Linked DNA regions of Anolis sagrei. The protein of the gene in region 1 interacts with the protein of each later gene in a pairwise test. Links are inferred from orthologs where the notes say so. Each region holds a gene or a part of one and is shown in the gene's direction. Other genes may lie near its edges. The genes, in order: KXD1 and CCDC185.

Region 1 (9,914 bases):
CACAGATAGATAGATTGATTGATAGATATGCAACCATACATATACACATATACACACACAAAATACATATACACAGACTGGGCCACAGCAACGTGTGGCAGGGAATGGCTAGTAGAATACTAAAAATACTAAGAAGAAAAATATAAATAAATAAATATAATATTGTTAATTTATATTACTACTATACAATCTATATACCTAATAAAAGTGAAAAATCATCTTGATTTATAGGAATTATAGTTCACCAACATCCAGAGAACACTGTGAACCCAAACAATAATCGATCTGGACAAAATTTGACATGCATACTTGATATACCAAAATACTAGTGGGGTTTGGGGGGGGGGGGAGGGATTGGCCTTGACATTTGTTAGTTGTAGGTACCGGGATCTATAATTCACCTGCAATCAATGAGCACTCTAAACTCTACCGAAGAGGGAATTGGACCAAACTTGACACACAGAGCCCCCATGACCAGGAAGAAATACTGGAGGTCTTTGGGGGGAAATTCACCTTGATTTGGGGGAGTTGTAGTTCAACTACATCCAGAGAGCTCTGTGAACCAACACCAATGGATCTGGATCAAACTTGGCACACCGACCTCATGTGCCGAAATGTGATTACTGGAGGAATTTGGGGGGAACCAACCTTCATTTCTGGGAGTTGTAGTTCACCCACAACCAGGGAAACTGTGACGTCCATCAATGGTGGACCTGGACCAAATTTGGCACACAGACCCCTGTGACTTACTCATCCTCCTGGAGGGGTTTGAGGGGAGAGAATCACCATAGTGGGAGTTGTAGTTTACCCTGCAGCCAGTTAGTACACTGAACCCCAGCCATGATGAATCTAGAGCAGTGGTTCTCAACCTTCCTAATGCCACGACCCCTTAATACAGTTCCTCATGTTGTGGTGCCCCCCAACCATAAAGTTATTTTCGTTGCTACTTCACAACTGTCATTTTGCTACTATTATGAATTGTAATGTAAATATCTGTTAAGCAAGATGTATTTTCATTCACTGGACCAAATTTGGCACAAATACCCTATATGTCTAAATTTGAATACTAGTGGGACTTGGGGGGGATTGATTTTGTCATTTGGGAGCTGTAGTTGCTGGGATTTATAGTTCACCTACAATCAAAGAGCATTCTGAACTCCACCAAGGATGGAATTGAATCAAAAAGGCTCACAGAACTCCCATGACCAACAGAAAATACTGGAAGGTTTTGGTGGGCATTGACCTTGAGTTCTGCAGTTGCAAATCACCTACATCCAGACAGCACTATGGACTCAAACAATGATGAGTCTGGACCAAGCATGGCACGGATACTCAATATGCCCTGATATGAATACTGGTGGAGCATGGGGAAAACAGACCTTGACATTTGGGAGTTGTAGTTGCTTGGATTTATAGTTCACCTACAATCAGAGAGCATTCTGAAGCCCACCAATGATAGAATTGGGCCAAACCCCCCACACAGAACCCCCATGTGGGCCACAGCAACGCGTGGCAGGGGACAGCTAGTATTTACATAAAACTGTAATTTTTACATATTTGTTTTTGTAAAATATTTGCATAAAACTGGTGGAGCTTGGGGATAAGGCTGTCCAACTCTGATTAAACCATTACTCTAACCTTCTTCGGTGTAAATGTGCTTTCGTATACTTCCAATAATAATAAAGAGAGTAAAATAATAAATATAATAAAAAATAACAATAATACAGTAAAATAATAAATGTAATAATAATAGAGTGAAATAATAAGTGTAATAATAACAATAATAGAGCAAAATAATAAATGTAATAATAATCATTAGAGTAAAATAATAAATGTAATAATAATAAATGGAGGTGCTCTTGGGGGAAAATAGACCTTGACATATGCGAGTTGTAGTTACTGGGATGTATAGTTCACCTACAGTCAAAGAGCATTCTGAACTCCACCAATAATAAAATCGGGCCAAATTTCCCACACAGAACCCCCACAACCAACAGAAAATACTGTGTTTTCTGATGGTCTTTGGCGTTCCCTCTGACACCCCATCGCGACCCCCCCCCCAGGGGTCCCGACCCCCAGGTTGAGAAACTCGGAGCAAACATAGCAAACTTGAAGTACTGATGGACTTTCTCGGGGTTAACCTGGCATGATGTGAGTTGTAGTTCACCCACAACTTTATGCATTTAGGACATTTACAAAACTGACTTTTTCAAATAACATGGGCAATGCCAGGCACCCAAGCTAGTAATAAGTAAAAGAAAATACAACAACATGAAACCAGTAATAACATTACATAAAATAAAATAATAAAATTAGTATAATATAATATTATGTGTGTGTGTGTGTGTGTGTGTGTATTACTAATCTATACACATAATAAAAGTGAAAATGTGTATGACTGTATGTGGTGGAGGTGTCCAGTTACACAGACAGCCTCCTGCCTCCACAAAGGCTATAGTTCCCACTATGCAGGAAGCACCGATTGCCCTCCCTCCACTGACATTCCAGGTTAGAGTGGGCACTATGAACATGTTTCCCTACCCCTGGCAATGTCGTCCCCAAACACCATACTGCACGACACCCAAGGAAAGCTTTCATTCAGAGACGAATTCATCCTAGATGTTCTGTTTTGCCTCCAACAAACAACAACAGAGAGGAAACAAAAAAGGACTTCTAATCACCTCTCAACAAAAGTTTGCTCCAGGCACTGTCAGGCCATTATATCAAGGTGGTCAGCTGAAACATTCACACCTAGCTCCAACAGACAAGAGTCCTTTGTCTCACCCTGGTCATTCCACAGATATATAAACCCTTTTTCCTAGTTCCAACAGACCTCACTACCTCTGAGGATGCTTGCTATAGATGCAGGTGAAACGTCAGGAGAATGCCTCTAGACCATGGCCATATAGCCCGAAAAAACCTACAACTCAGTGATTCCGGCCATGAAAGCCTTCGATAATACATTAAACAATGCTTTTTTCAAATAACTCGTGGACCGCCGAGTCCCCAAGCTAGTATTACTAATAGACATAAAATTAATATAAAACAATATAATATATGTATAATAATAATAATAATAATAATAATAAAACTTTATTTATACCCCGCTACCATCTCCCCAAGGGACTTGGAGTGGCTTACATGAGGCCAATCCCAACAACACATCGATAAAAACAACAAGCAATAAGCAAAATAAATAATACAATTAATATAACTCACACATAGACAATAACACACAATGATTTCAAAACCTATGGCTGGGCCAGATGTAATTAAACCAAAAGTAGAGAGCAACCCAACGGGTAATTAAAGTGCTTCTGAGGATATTTTATATATTATAAATATACAATTTAATAATAATAATAATAATAAGAGAAGAATGTGGGATATAAATATAGTGCTAAAATATTACTAATAAAAATAAATTAAATTAAATATAATTAATATAATATTATGGGTGTGCATATATTACTAATATACAATTTAATAATAATAGGAGAAGTGGGATACAAATATTACTAATAAGAATAAAATAAAATAAATAAAATAGAATTAATATCATATAATATTATGAGTGTGCATATATTACTAATACACAATTTAATAATAATAAGAGTAGTGGGATACAAATATTACTAATAAGAATAAAATTAAATAAATAAAATATAATTAATATCATATAATATTATGTGTGCGTATATATTACTAATATACAATTATTATTAGCATTATTATTATAAGAGAAGAAAGGAGGATATAAATATAATATTAAAATAGGAATAATAGAATAAAATACATATAATATAAAGTGTATATATTACTAATATATTATTTAATAATAATAATAATAATAATAATTTTATGATTTCCTCATGGCGGTTCACGGCACAGTCAAAACACACAAACATTGCAAGAAAAAAAATCCATAAACGCATGTATTAAAATGTTAGTTCTAGAATATACCAATTCTATCAAATGCATATGGAGTACACAGGGCAGAGATTGAAACACATTGAGAAACCTAAAGACTGTAGACATTATGCTGGGTGGAAGGAGGAAGAAATTAAAAGCAGGAGAGAAGCCAGATTCTGAATGTCTTGCACTCATCTTGCAAGCCATTGCAAGCAGAAGAGAGAAGCGACCCATTGCAATGCAAAGGCAGTAGGGTGGGCAGGAAATGGCATGGCTTTTACCCCAATCTCCAATCCCCCTTCACTTTCCTCTGCTTGCAAAACACTCACCTGGACCCAGGAATTGCTCACTTCCTTGGTCCCGCCTCTCTTTCCATCAGCTGATGGCCGAGGAGGCGGCTGATAGGCTGCGAGAGCTGCCACTCCAGCCTGACCTCCGCACACCCCCATTGCGCAACCTCTTAAAGGGACAGTGACCATCCCCAGACTGTATATTTACCACCAGCTTTCTACTTATGCCTTTTCAGACTACAGTTCTCATCAGGCTTCTCTTTGTGATTACAGTTCTCACCAGCTTTTCCTTAATGTCTTTACAGACTACATTTCCCATCAGCCTCTCTGTCTTTTCAGATTACAGTTCCCATCAGCCTTGACTTTGTGACCTTTCGGATTACAGTTCCCATCAGCCTTTCCTTAATTTCTTTACAGACTACAGTTCCCATCAGACTTTGTGTCATTTCAGATTACAGTTCCCATCAGCCTTTGTGTCTTTTCAGATTACAGTTCCCATTAGTCTTCCCTTTGGGTCTTTATAGACTACAGTCCCAATCTGCCTTTATGTCCTTTTGGACTACAGTTCACACCAGCCTTCCCTTTGTGTCTTTAAACTACAGTTCCCATCAAGCTTCCCTTTGACTTTACAGACTACGGTTCCCATCATCCTTCCCTTTGTACCCTTTCGGATTACAGTTCCCATTAGCCTTTCCTGAATGTCTTTACAGACTACAGTTCCCATCATCCTTCCTTTTGGGTCCTTACAGGCTACAGTTCCCATCAGCTTTTCCTTAAGGTCTTTACAGACTACAGTTCACATCAAGCTTTCCTTTGTGTCTTTACAGACTACAGTTCCCATCATCCTTCCCTTTGTGTCTTTACAGGCTACAGTTCCCATCAGCTTTTCCTTAAGGTCTTTACAGACTACAGCTCACATCAGCTTTTCCTTAAAGTCTTTACAGACTACAGTTCACATCAAGCTTTCCTTTGTGTCTTTACAGGCAACAGTTCCCATCAGCTTTTCCTTAAGGTCTTTACAGACTACAGTTCCCATCAAACTGACCTTTGCCCCGATCCGAGGTTTTAAAATGAATCTGCGTATTCAGGATGACTCAGTGGAGAGAATGAAGTAATACTTTAACTGGAAGAATAATATAATATTTTATATTGACATATAATATTAATAATAATATTATACATTATAATACTAATAATAATATGATATAATACATAATACTAATATTGTGCTATGCTAATAATATCATATATTACATATTCATATAATATTAATAATACACTATAACAATATATAATACTAATATTGTGCTATGCTAATATTATCATATATTATATATTCATATAATATTAATAATACACTATAATAATATATAATACTAATATTGTGCTATGCTAATATCATCATATATTATATATTCATATAATATTAATAATACACTATAATAATATATAATACTAATATTGTGCTATGCTAATATCATCATATATTATATATTCATATAATATTAATAATACAATATAACAATATATAATACTAACATTGTGCTATGCTAATATTATTATATATTATATATTCATATAATATTAATAATGTAATATAATACTATATAATACCAATATAACACTAATATATGAAATATATTACTGCTGATAATATATAATAATATAAAAATGGCAATACTATTTTATTGTTTTCTGAAAAGATGAAGCGGGATATCAATCCAAAAAAATCGATGAATGAATAAATCTAATATCTGTGTTATTGCATTCCCATAACATAGAGAGGGCGTGGTTTAGCCCTCTTTTTATCCCCCAATGAAAATGCGGCGGGGGCGGAGCCAACGGAGTAGGAAGCAAAGCGCAGGCGGGTCCACCATTGCTAGGGTAACCACGCAGGGCACGTCCAGGGACGCAAAGCCTATGTCAGCGCGTAGCCACGCCCCACCCGGAAGTGAGCCGTTAGAGGCTGTTGGAAAGGAGCCTTCCGGTGGGGCTGAGTGGAAGAAGCGCTCTCTCTCAGCGCAGGCCTCGGTCGCGTCAGGGATGTGAGCTTTTGGCTTTGGAGCTTCTTTCAGGTGCGTCGGGGGCGGGGCCAAAATGGCCATTGGGGAACAGTGAGTGGGCGGGGCCTGACCCGATGGAGTGTCTCAGGGGGCGGGGTTGTGGGCGGAGCTTGGGGAAGGGGCGGAGTTTGGGAAGGGTCCTCTTCTGCCAACACAGATACAGACTTATAGAATCATAGAATCAAAGACTTGTCAGCTGGAAAGGAGGGGGTTTCCTATTGGGAAGGGCTTGTTGGCTTTCACAAGGGGCAATCCTTGTGAGGTTTGTGGGCTACTGAGCACAGAAGTCATAGAATCATAGAGTTGGAAGAGACCCCATTCTGCCATGCAGGAAAAGCACAGTCAAAACACCCCTGACAGAAGGCAATTTAGGCTTACAATTTAGAGTTACAAGCTGGGTAGGTGCAGAGAATGCTGTGGATTTCAGTAAGGCCTTCAACAAGGTCCCCCATGACCTTCTGGCAAACTAGTCCAATGTGGGCTAGCCAAAACTACGGTTAGGTGGATCTGTAATTGGTTAAGCGGACGAACCCAGAGGGTGCACACCAATGTATTGTCAAAGGCTTTCATGGCCGGAATCACTGGGTTGTTGTAGGTTTTTTCGGGCTGTATGGCCATGGTCTAGAGGCATTCTCTCCTGACGTTTCGCCTGCACTTGGCAAGCATCCTCAGAGGTAGTGAGGCCTGTTGGAGCTAGGCAAAAGGGTTTATATATCTGTGGAATGACCAGGGTGAGACAAAGGACTCTTCTCTGTTAGAGCTAGGTGTGAATGTTCCAACTGACCACCATGATTAGCATACAATGGCCTGACCGCGCCTGGGGCAAGCTTTTGTTGAGAGGTAGATGTCCTTGCCTGTTTCCTCTGTTGTGCTGTTGCAATTTTAGAGTTTTTTAATACTGGTAGCCAGATTTTGTTCATTTTCATTCTTTCCTCCTTTCTGTTGAAATTGTCCACATGTTTGTGTATTTCAATAGCTTCTCTGTGTAGTCTGACATGGTGGTTATGAGAGTGGTCCAGCATTTCTGTGTTTTCAAATAAAATGCTGTGTCCAGGTTGGTTCATCAGGTGCTCTGCTATGGCTGATTTCTCTGGTTGAAGTAGTCTGCAGTGCCTTTCATGTTCCTTGATGCGTGTCTGGGCAATACTGCTGCATTTGGTGGTCCCTATGTAGACTTGTCCACAGCTGCATGGTACACGGTAGACTCCTGCAGAGGTGAGAGGATCCCTTTTGTCCTTTGCTGAACGTAGCATTTGTTGGATTTTCTTGGTGGGTCTGTAGATAGTTTGTATGTTGTGTTTCCTCATCAGCTTCCCTATGCGGCACTACAAATAAGATACATGCAGTGTGCATAGGAATTCATTCATTTTTTTCCAAATTATAATCCGGCCCTCCACCAGTTTGAGGGACTGTGACCTGGCCCTCTGTTTAAAAAGTTTGTGCACCCCTGTTCTAGAGGCATTTTCTCCTGACGTTTCGCCTGCATCTATGGCAAGCATCCTCAGTGGTAGTGAGGTCTGCTGGAACTAGGAAAAAGGGTTTATACATCTGTGGAATGACCAAGGTGGGACAAAGGACTCTTGTCTGTTGGAGCTAGGTGTGAATGTTTCAACAGCAGTACAATACAATACAGCAACATAAAATATAAACAAAAAAATAACATCACAGTAAAAATAAACCGATAAAATAAAATAAATAATATAAAATAACATAATATAAAATCAAACACAATAGGTAGGCCAGATGTTTGACATAAAATTATAAAACACTAGATGAGATAGCAATGAAAAGTGCAATTTGTAGGGAAGGAGCTCGTAGAGGACTGAACAGTGGAGTTAAACTTTCAATAAGTTGGGGGAAAGTGCAATATGGGGAGAATGCTCTTTGAATGCAATTTTCCTGCTGCTTGGCACTGGATGGTTTTGAGGTCTCTTCCAACTCTATGATTCTATGATTATGATTCTAAGATCCGATGGGCCATCTCGTCTGACCCCATTCTGCCATGCAGGAAAAGCACAATCAAAATACCCTTGACAGAAGGCAATTTAGGCTTCTCAGCTGTTAAACTGAAATCCCTGGTTATCTCTTTGAACTGTTAAGGACAACGTTATGCCAATGCACAACATATATACCAGATCTTCAGAAGTGCATGTGAAAAAGATCTCTCTGCCCCGGAGTGTGGCTGGGGCTCCTTCTTTGGGGGCTTTGAAACAGAGGCTGGATGGCCATCTGTCAGAGATGCTTTGAATTCAATTTTCCTGCTTCTTAGCAGGGAATTGGACTGGATGGCCCATGAGGTCTCTTCTAACTCTATGATTCTATGATTATATTTTCTCCTTTTTCTTTTATATTTGTTTATATGCCTATATGTACTTTGGTATAAGTCTAAGTCAAACTCAATGTATAAGTCAAAGGCAGGTAGGAGAGCCAAAATGAGTCACCTTTCACCACTCAGAGAAAGGGATAGTTCCATTTTTTTTTACAAGAGTTAAGATGCAGTATTTACATTGATGTTTCATATACACCTTATACACATAAGTCTGAAGACTGTTGCACATGAAACTAAGTCCATGTATATTAAGCTACCAGGCTTTTAAACAGAGGTTGGATAGCCATCTTTCGGGGGTGCTATCTACACCCCGCCTTTCTCTACCCCAAAGGAGGCTCAAGGCAGCTTAAAAGGTAAGGTAAAGGTTGTCCCCTGACATTAAGTCCAGTCATGTCTGACTCTGGGGGTTGGTGCTCATCTCCATTTCTAAGCCGAAGAGCCGGGGTTGTCCGTAGACACCTCCAAGGTCATGTAGCCAGCATGACTGCATGGAGCGCCATTACCTTCCCGCCGGAGCGGTAACTATTGATCTACTCACATTTGCATATTTTCGAACTGCTAGGTTGGCAGGAGCTAGGGGTGACAGCAGAAGCTCACGCTGCTCCCCGGAATCAAACCTGCGACCTTTAGGTCAACAAGCTCAGCAGCTCAGCGCTTTAACCCACTGCGCCACCGGGGGCTCCTTACATGGCAACTTACATGGAGGCAATTATTCAATGCCTTAAAACACATTCAATTAAAAAAAATTAAATTAGATTAAAATTAAAAACATATTAAACATTTAAAAGCATTCTATTCCATATTATTATTATTATTAAACTTTATTTGTACCCCGCTAGCATCTCCCGCAGGACTCGATGCTGCTTACAAAGGCCAAGGCCTCAACACAACAACAGCAAAACAATAACAATACAATTTAAAGCAAATTAAAACATATGCAATAACAAAACATTACATCATTACGCAATAAAAACCAGGGCCGGGCCAGTGATGGGTACAGGTTAAAAGTGCTGGGTGTGGCAGGAGGTATGTTGGATTTCCGGGCAAGTGCAATGTGCAGAGAGTCTTAAACTCTAATAAAGTGCTTAAAATCACACCATCCATAGTCATTCCATATATTCCAGATCTGTTAATTGCACTGCACTATTCTCCGAAGGCCCGGCCCCACAGCCAAGTTTTTACCTTTCTTCTGAAGGCTAGGAGGCAGGGGCCTGATCTAATGTCACTGGGGAGACAGTTCCATAGCCGAGGGGCCACTACTGAGAAGGCCCTGACTCTCGTTCCCACCAGTCAGGCCTGCGAAAGAGGTAGGACTGAGAG
Region 2 (9,482 bases), on another chromosome or scaffold:
CCCATTTCTGGCAGTTTGGTTTCCGGAACTGCCAGAATTCCCAGAACCCGTTTTCAAAAATGGTACCATGCACACTCCATAATCCAGGGCATGTTTACTGAGTAGTTAATCCCACTATGGTCAAAAAGGTTTGCTCCCCTTAAGACTGCAATCTAACATATTTTAGTATACCTTTGAGTTTGATTATCATGTCTACAATACTATTTCAGACCTCTTGAACATAATGGGTGTTATTTCTAAGGTAAACATACATAAGAATGTGCTATTAAACTCATAGACTTAATTTCATCTTAGGTCACTGAACTGTTACTGTTACACTACAGTAGAAGATATTGTTTTATTGTACATTTTCCCTCTTATTGTCTTACTCCTCTCTTTATAGGTATTTTTAATTGCATTATCCATACCAACAATTTCCTTTAAGTAACAAACCTCCCGTAACTGTAATTCATAATTCTTTTTGGGAACTGAGAGACAATTTTTTAAAGCCTGCTTCTTTTTATTTTCATTACTCTCTGGGCAATCTGCACTATTAAACAAATTACATCTAGCAGCTGCTTAAATTACAACTGAAAGCAAAAAAATGGTTATCTTACAATAACACAGTTATTTGGAGAGGAAAAAAGACATTGTGCAATGTATACAAGGATAAAAGAGCCCCCGATGGCGCACTGGGTTAAACCGCTGAGCTGCTGAGCTTGTTGACCAAAAGGTCGCAGGTTCAAATCCAGGGAGCAGCTTGAGCTTCCGCTGTCAGCCCCAACTTCTGCCAACCTAGCAGTTCAAAAACATACAAATGTGAATAGATCAATAGGTACTGCTCAGTCATGCCAGCCAAATGACCTTGGAGATGTCTCCGGACAATGCCGGCTCTTTGGCTTAGAAATGGAGATGAACACCAACCCCCAAAGTCAGACATAACTGGACTTAATGTCAGGGGACAACTTTTACCTTTACCTTACAGACATAATGATAGAGTTGATAGCGGGGTTGCCAGGCGCTGAAGGTGAAAATAAAGTACTCTGGAAAGGAAAGGCCTCATCCCCGCCCCCTTTCACCCAAGGTCCTCTATGGCCTAGACACCTCTTGTGGCAAAGACATCCAGATAGTACCTGCACCCAGCCTCCGGAGAAGGTCTAGAAGGGGGAGTGGGGAGAGGTCAGATGGGCTACAGAAGATAGAGAGACCCCTCGCCACCCAGAGTGGAGCCCATGTCACCTGGGTGCCCAGAAGGATGCCACCATTGGAGGGAGGGGAAGAGGCTGGCCAGGCTTGGACTCACTCCCTACCGGAAGGAAGCGCATGCTAGGCTCACTGCATACTCAGATCTGGTGCATGCAATCAGTGGAAATAATTATAATGATGAATGTTAAACTTCCATTCTATGTCTAACTTTTGTTTATTTTAATATGTATTTTATGGAAATATGTTTTAATATGTGTATTTTATGGAGTGTTTTTTAAATTATTTTGTGTTTTGATTAGGTGTTGTAATAATGTTGTAACCCACCTCAAGCCCTGAGAAAAGGCGGGTAAAAAATAAAATTATTATTATTATTATTATTATTATTATTTGATGTCCTGGACCAGGGTGCAATGGGACGTGGGACATTTTATCTAAATAAGGGACTGTCCCTTATAATCCAGGACACCTGGCAATGCTGGTTGATACTCTATCAATGGGAGTGTCTGCTGGACCTACCTCCTTCGGGGTGCCACAAAGGGGCCTCATAACTACTAATACAGGCCCTCATTTGTCCTAAATCCAGCACTGCTCATTTGAGTCGTCATTTTATAAAAAAGATACAATTTTATTATTATCCAATTGTATATAATGGAAATGGAGCAACCACAGGAGTCCTGGAACCAAGCACCAGCAGATACCAAGGAACCACTGTACTTCCATTTATCCTGTTTGTTGTAACTTTTTATAACTGTTTGTACTATTGAGAGGAGGAAACACATTAGAGGGATGAAACTGAAGTTCACAGTTCAATCTTTTAACCTTCTTGTTGTACAGTTAATTCAACTAACAGAATATATACTACAATATTCTTTATATATGCATCACCGCATGAAATAATCCATATGCTAGTGACTGGGCTAAGTGTTTGATTGTACATTACAGGGGCTAGTAATTACATCTTGTATGTGGCATTAGAAAAATCAGATTACATATGATTATCCATCCAGATTTACCAGCATTCGGCTGTAGATTCTCTGTTCCAGTGCCAAAGCACTGCACAGAAACATCCAGGGAAGAGGCAAAGGTTTCACTGACGTGATTAGTCTTCCTAGCAGGCTGAGTTCTTCCTCTGAGAAATGGAGCACTGACACTATTAACCAAGCTGGACTCCAAATGCTTTTAAAGGATTTTTAAAAGTCCAAATCTCTTGATCCTCAGATGCTGTAAAAGCTAAGGAATTAAATACTTGTGAAATGGCTGTGTGACTATGTGAGAGCTAGTCCTAGACATTTTGCTGCCTGATGTAGAGCAGAAATTGGCACTCCTACCTGCCAAATGAAACTGTATAGTACCCTAAACCAGCCATTATTTTGGTGCCTGAGGCAGAAATTCGCAATCAACTCTTTCCATCTCCTGGGCGATAAAACTATAATAACAAGAAATTAAACAGCTAACAATTCAGTGCCCTTTCATGACACCAAAACCTGCTACCAAAGATGCCTGAAGCAAGAGTGAATCACAAAATGTATATTCTCCCCCCACCCCACCCCACCCCCATCCCAATGCAGTGGTCTTTAAACCACAAGTAGATCTTTACAGCCTAGGGAAAATACTGATGGTATTACCATTTAAAATATATATTATTTCTCTTTTGAGAAAGAGAGAGAGATTTAGGAGTGAAAGAGGAAAAGAGTGACTAGATACAAATGAACATTTTTTAAAAGTTTAGTATTGTACCAAGAACCTTTCCCCCAGTATTGTATGAATTTTGAAGCCTTGGGCCTCCAAGTATGCATTCTGAACATATGCAGGAGGATTTACATGCATTTACATATGTACACACAGAGAGGCACTGGTTAAAATCTTGGCAGTTTGAAACTGCCAGCCGCAGCAAGAGAGTTCCAAAAAGGACTACACTAAGGGGCACTGCGACACTACACAAGTATAGTATTTACATATATACACACAGAAGTCTTAACAGGATCACATAAACCTTAAGGTTCTACTTTTACTGCCATGGTTCCATGGAATATTGGGATTTGCAGTTCATTGTGTGCCTTAAAATTATTTTCAACTTCATGTGGCCCTAAGGCAGACTATTGGAAGAGCAATAAATCACAGAGTTTCCTTGGTAAGATTTGTTAAGGAAAAAGTTGCCTTCATCTGAGACTGCATGACTTACCCAAGGCCATCATCTAACAGAGTTCACGGCCAAGTGGGGAGTTGAACCCTGCTCTCCAGAGTGCTCTCCAGAGTCTACTTCAATGCTCAAATCACTACACCAGTCTGGAGTTTCCTCCTGTTTGGTAAAGTCCAGCTTTACTTCCCCATTTCTCAATTTGTTGGTGTTAAAAGTTATTTTGCAAGGGAAACATTTTGAATGCCACAAACTGCTGGTCTGTGAAGCAAAGCACAGACCAATGCTACATAGTTGCCTCAGCATTCCAAGACTCAGGAATAGTTCAATGAGATTCCTCCTGTAGTAGACCAGATGCCAGATTAATGTAGTTTCTGGTTGCTTGAGAGTTACTATTACAAATGGGCTTAACTAGCACTATACACTAAGCCTGGGTAACAACGAAAAAAATTGTTTCTAAAATCGATTTGTATTTGGGGGGTTTTTTTGTTTCGATATTTAAAATAATTACAAAATTTTCCTTTTAAAAAGTTCGATATTTACGAAATTTCGTAAATGGTAAAAAAATTAACGAATCGATTTCCGAAACAATAACGAATCGATTTGTTAATGGCAGACGCGACCGCGAAATACGCTAAAAAACCTCCAAAACCTTCTGAAGCTTCCCTCTCCCTCTGTTGTTGACTGTTGGTGTGATTTTATAATTTTTTTTCACTAATTAAACCATAAAACTGGCCCAGTCATGCGGAAATAATAACGAAACGACCTCAAAACAATAACGAAATGAATACAATATCGAAATACGAAGCATTTACAAAACGTTTTTGAAAATTCTTTTTTTTAATAATTGCTCCAGAATGGTTCGTTATCGTTTTGTAATTGAAAAAATTAACGAATTATTAACGAATTACGAATTAACGAAACGAAACCGCCCAGCCCTACTATACACCATGCTATACCATACCACAAACTTTTTACAAACTTTATTACTATGTTATTATTTTATTTGATGTTAGTTTTGTTTATATGTACTTTTGCTCTATTGTAATTTGTATGGGCATGGCCTCATGTTAGCCGCCCCAAATCTCTTTGGAGAGATGGTGGCAGGGTATAAATAGTTTATTGTTGTTGTTATTATTATTATTCTATTTTTTGCTGGTTGTGTGAGAGTTCCTGTTAACTAAGAGTCTACTGTAGTTTGTTACAGGAGTCTTTAATATTTATTGACTGTTATAGCAGTGTTTTGCATTTTTTTAAAAAAAGTCCAACTTCCCTCTTTCTCAAATTGCTGCTAACCTTCTAAGGGAAAAAGTGGGGAATGGCACAGGCTGCTGGCCTGTGAAAGCAAAACACAGGTTGTGTGGCATTTTGCTAAACATCCCCAACTGAGCAAGACCCAGGAATGCTCCCAGAGCTGGGAAAAGACCCATCCAATCCAACTCCATTGTGCCATGCAATCCTGCACGACTTTGGCATGGGCAAACTTTGGTCCTCCAGGTGTTTTGGACTTCAACTCCCAAAATTCCTAATAGCTGGCTGACTATGGGGCCTTCCACACAACCTTATATTTCAGAATATCAAGGCAGAAAATTCCACAATATCTGCTTTGAACTTATTTGAGTCCAGCTAGTCCTAGACATTTTACGGTATGATGTAGAGTTGCAATTGTCACTCCCACCTCCCAAATGAAACTGTATAATACCCAAAGGGCCCTTCCGCATAGCCCTATATCCCAGGATATCAAGGTAGGAAATCCCACATTATCTGAGTATGGACTCAGATAACCCAGTTCAAAGCAGATATTGTGGGATTTTCTGCCTTGATATTCTGGGATACAGGGATATGTAGAAAGACCCTCTGAGAGAGCTAACCCTAAACATTTTGCAGCCTGGTGTAGAGCAACAATTTACACTTCCAGCTCCCAAATGAAACTTCATAGTACCCTAAACCTGCCATTATTGTAGTGCCTGAGACAGAAATTCCCACCATCATCTCATTCCATGGGCGATAAAAACTATAACAATAAATTAAGCAGGTAACAATCCAGTGCCCTTTCATGACATCAAAACCCTGCTACCAAAGATGCCTGAAGCAAGAGGGAGCCACAAAATGTGTGTGTATTGTGGCTTTCATGGCCAGAATCATTGGGTTGGTGTAAGTTTTCCGGGCTGTATGTATATTCTTTTCCCTACCCCATCCTAATGCAGCTGTTAGGAACTGTGGGAGTTGAAGTGAAGTTTGCCCACGCCTGCTTGAGGATCTCCTCTATTTGACTCTTTCGAGTTCACGTTGGGACTGAAGGGGAGAGCTGGTCACGTGGGAGGAAGGGGTGAGGAAGTCCCTCTCTGACCAGCCCAGCCCCGCCCGGCTCGGGCTGGAGGGCGGGGCGCGCGGTCTCCTTGGCGACGCTTGTGACGCGCGCGCGCTGCCTATGTGGCGCCGGGGCGCGCGTGGCGGGGGGCGGGGCCGGGGGGGCGCGAGGGCACTCGGGCCATGCGGCGGCAGCAGCAGCGACGGCGCCGCGCGCGTGGCGGGTGGGCGGCGTGCGTGGGCGGCGAGGAGGAGGCGGGCAACCAGACCAGCAGCCGCCGCGCCGCGGGCAAGAAGAAGCCGCCCGCCCCGTCGTGCTGCAGCCTGTCCGGCGCGGAAAGCCCGCGGGAGATGGCGAGGCGCAAGAGCCCCGGGCGCTTCTCGCCGGCGTGCGGCTTCCTGGAGGCCTACAGCTCGGAGCCCGAGGTGGCGGGCGGCGAGGGCCGGAGGGGCCGCCTGGCCGGTCGGCCGGGAAAGAGCCGCGCCTGCTCCTCCTCGCTCCGCCGGCCCAAGCCCGCCTCGGCGCGCCGCCTCTCGGCCTGGCAGCCCGGGGGAGAGGGCTGCGCCACGCCCGGCACGGCCACCTCTTGCACCACCCTCTACGGCGGGGACTGGCCCGCCGGCCCGCGCGCCGAGGAGCCCTGGGCCAGCCCCGTGCCCCGCCCGCTCGACTACGCCGCCGCCGACTTCCCCACCGACGCCAGCAAGCCGGCCTCGCGCTGCCCCTCCTCCTACTCCTCCCTGGGCCCGCCCCCGAAGCCCGAGGCCAAAGAGCTCAGCCGACGGGACTGGCGGGAGCTCTGCGGGAGCAGCCCCAGCCTCGTGGACCTCATGCACTCCTTGCGGAAGTACGAGGAGGAAGAGGAGGAGGAAGCTGCTGCTGCTGCTGCAGCCTATGACCCCATCGGTGCCACCCCACACCTCCGCCACCCCCAGAAGCAGCCCAGGAAAGCCCACGACCACCAGATCCACCTCCATGACTTGGTGGACAAGCGCTACGAGGACCTGCTCCCCGAAAGGGACAAGAAGATCGCTGCCCTGATGCTGGCCCGGCACCAGGAGGAGGAGGAGATGAAGGACAGGCAGCTGCGGGTTTCCGACGCCTGGGAGAACCTGAGGCGGAAGGAGAAGAAGCACAAGGCCCGGCTGGACAAGGAGCGCCGGTACCATGTGGCCGACAGCCTGGAGCAGTGGCAGCGGGACCGCGACCAGAGGCTCTCCAAGCTCCGGCTGGAGGAACAGCAGCTCTTAGCCTCCAGGGAGAGGGACATGATGCTCCGCGACAAGAAGTGGAAGAAGCTGGCCAAAGAACAGGAGTCTCGGCGCAGAGAGAAATGCGAAAGTGCCCGGCTTCAAGCCGAGTACCGGAAACGTTGCCAGGAGAAGCAACTCTGGGAGAAAAAGCTAAGCGAGAGGAGTGCTCGGGAGCAGAGCTCTCATGCCTACAAGGAGAAGATGCTGCAGGCCCTGGAGAAGAGGCTGATGAAGGAAATGGAAAGGAAGAGGCGGAAAACAGATATGAATGAATACAGGCGGGCCCAGCACATGCACAAGGACCAAATGGATGACCGGCTGAAAGCGGATGAGCTCTACAAGAGGCTCTGTATCGAGCAGAAGCTCCAGCGGTCTCAGGAGATCCTGGAGCAGCTGCTGGAAGAGAGGAACAGGGAACTGAAGGAAAGGTCTTTCAAAGAGGAGGAGCAAGGCATGATCGCCAAGGTGCGAGCCAAAGAGACGGAGGAGGAGAAGAGACGGCGGAAGGAGATGTTGCTGCAGATTGCCGAGATGAAGATCCAGCAGGCCAGAGAGATCATGTCCAAAAATATTGATGACCGAGCACAGCATGTAAAAGAAATGAACTGCCTGAAGGAAAGGAACCACCATTGCCGCAAACAGAAGCTCGATTACGATGAAAAATGTCACCTACGGGAGTTGCAAGAAGCACTACGACGGAAGGATCAGAAAAGCAATCAGATCCTAAGGCACAAAGACACGGCTATTGAAGAATCGAGGAAAATTGCCAAAGCATCGTATGACCTTAGGGAAAAAGTGAGAGATCTGATCAACCATAATTCATTCGATCAGATGGCATTAGATGCCCATCGCAATGCAAGCGTCCTTAGAGGTCTCTAGTGAAGTGTAACGAAACATCCCAGAATGTCTTGTGCCCCTCAAAACATGGTTGTAATGTGTTCATTTTGTAGAATTATGCACTGCTGTACACTAAAGTGGTTTCAGCCTTAATTCATGTTTGACTCATAAGTCTTTGGTTGGATTGTGATTTAAAGAAGCTGTATACCACATCTCACTTAGCTTTATATATTGTATCTCATATATTACTTGGATTTGAACGTAAGTCACTACAGCTTTATACAATTAATTGTAGCCATGACATAATGGGTGATACCTTTTAATTTAATATTTCTGTAACAATCCTTTTAAGTGTGTTTTTACAATGGCAACCTGAAGTTCTTCATAAATTCTTGATTTCACATATATTTAATGACATTAGCATTTCATATCCAAGTATGCATCCATCACTCATAATCAAGAACATAGTGAAAGTTGCTCAATATTTTTATATTTCAATAAATATTTCTATAGTTCAATAAATATTTTTATACCCAAAGAAGCAAGTCTCCAGTGCACATAGCTAGCCCACTTATTTCTGTGAATCATATCATGGTGTCCATTTGGGGTGGCAAAGTGCCCCCTCAGATAATCTTGGGCTGAAATTCCTAAAATTTAAACACACTCAAATACACTGGGCTTTTGTGGGATTCGGTGAATTAGTGTATTCCCCATTAAGAATCATTTGACTGTTGGCTTCCCATTCCATTTATGTCAACATAAGATAGGTTGATTTTACTGGGATTTACAACAGTGCAATCCTTTGAATCAGCATCATAATTTAATCACTGGCAGGCTGAGGGTGTCTGAAGCAGAGAGGCAATCAAAGCATTCTTTCTAGAGGTTATCTATAGACGACTGGAACAAGTGTTACGTATAACTTTTCCCCCACTGGAAAAGAATATCCCACTTCTGACACCAATTTGTCATGAATGACTTTTCAATAACTTTGAAGCATAGGCGCTTTTTATTGCAATTTCCAGTGTGAGAGGGTATATCAGATTACAGAAAAACATTTAGACAAAGAATGGCATTGGACATGCAAACATACAGATTCTATGCAACTACATTGGATTTACAATTACATGGCTAACTAACAAAGGGGAATTACATTTTCACTCAACATTCACACCACATGTACATGCATTCATCTTCATGCATCCAAATATTACCATATCCTTTTCTCCCTCCTTGGAGAAGCACCTGTTAGGCCTGCTTTCCTGCAGCCTGCCAATGCATTGTTCCAAAACTTCCATAATGCCATAACTTCAAAACTCCAAAATACATCCTTTCCCTAAGCACAATGCCAAGGACCAAACCTCTGTTTTCTATACAGCAGAACCTGACTCCCTGCACAAAATCCAAGACTCCAAGGGCACACTTCTTCCTCTTCCCTTGAGAAAGAAGACCCAAAGTGATCAGACTGCTCCCTTGCAAATCTGCCACTCCATGATACACTATCTCTCTCCTTCCCATGGAGCAGAGTATAGCGGGTGGAACAGACTCCTCTGGTCTGCCACAACTTGGGCATTATTAGACTGAGTCATAAAAGACTCTGCTGATGTAGTCCCAAAGTTGTAAATGAATGATAGACTTCTTCCATCCTGGCTTCATCTCAGTTTCTTGACTAGATGTTGATCTTGATTGGTGTTGACAAACACAAGGCTTGTGTTGACTTCCTTCCTAACATTGTAAACATTTCTGTTATCATTGTCCCAGT

What was found.
Region 2: the proteins of KXD1 (region 1) and CCDC185 interact in a two-hybrid assay, tested with the Homo sapiens proteins (2 studies listed by BioGRID and IntAct). The two-hybrid records come from large-scale screens. The link is inferred for Anolis sagrei from reciprocal best matches to the Homo sapiens genes KXD1 and CCDC185.

What each region holds. Positions count from the first base shown.
Region 1 is NC_090034.1:50,952,383-50,962,296, reverse strand, and holds the start of KXD1 (kxDL motif-containing protein 1), read left to right. Parts: upstream 1-6,115; 5' UTR 6,116-6,277; intron 6,278-9,914.
Region 2 is NC_090021.1:87,014,183-87,023,664, forward strand, and holds CCDC185 (coiled-coil domain-containing protein 185), read left to right. Parts: upstream 1-5,808; 5' UTR 5,809-5,815; coding exon 5,816-7,765; 3' UTR 7,766-7,876; downstream 7,877-9,482.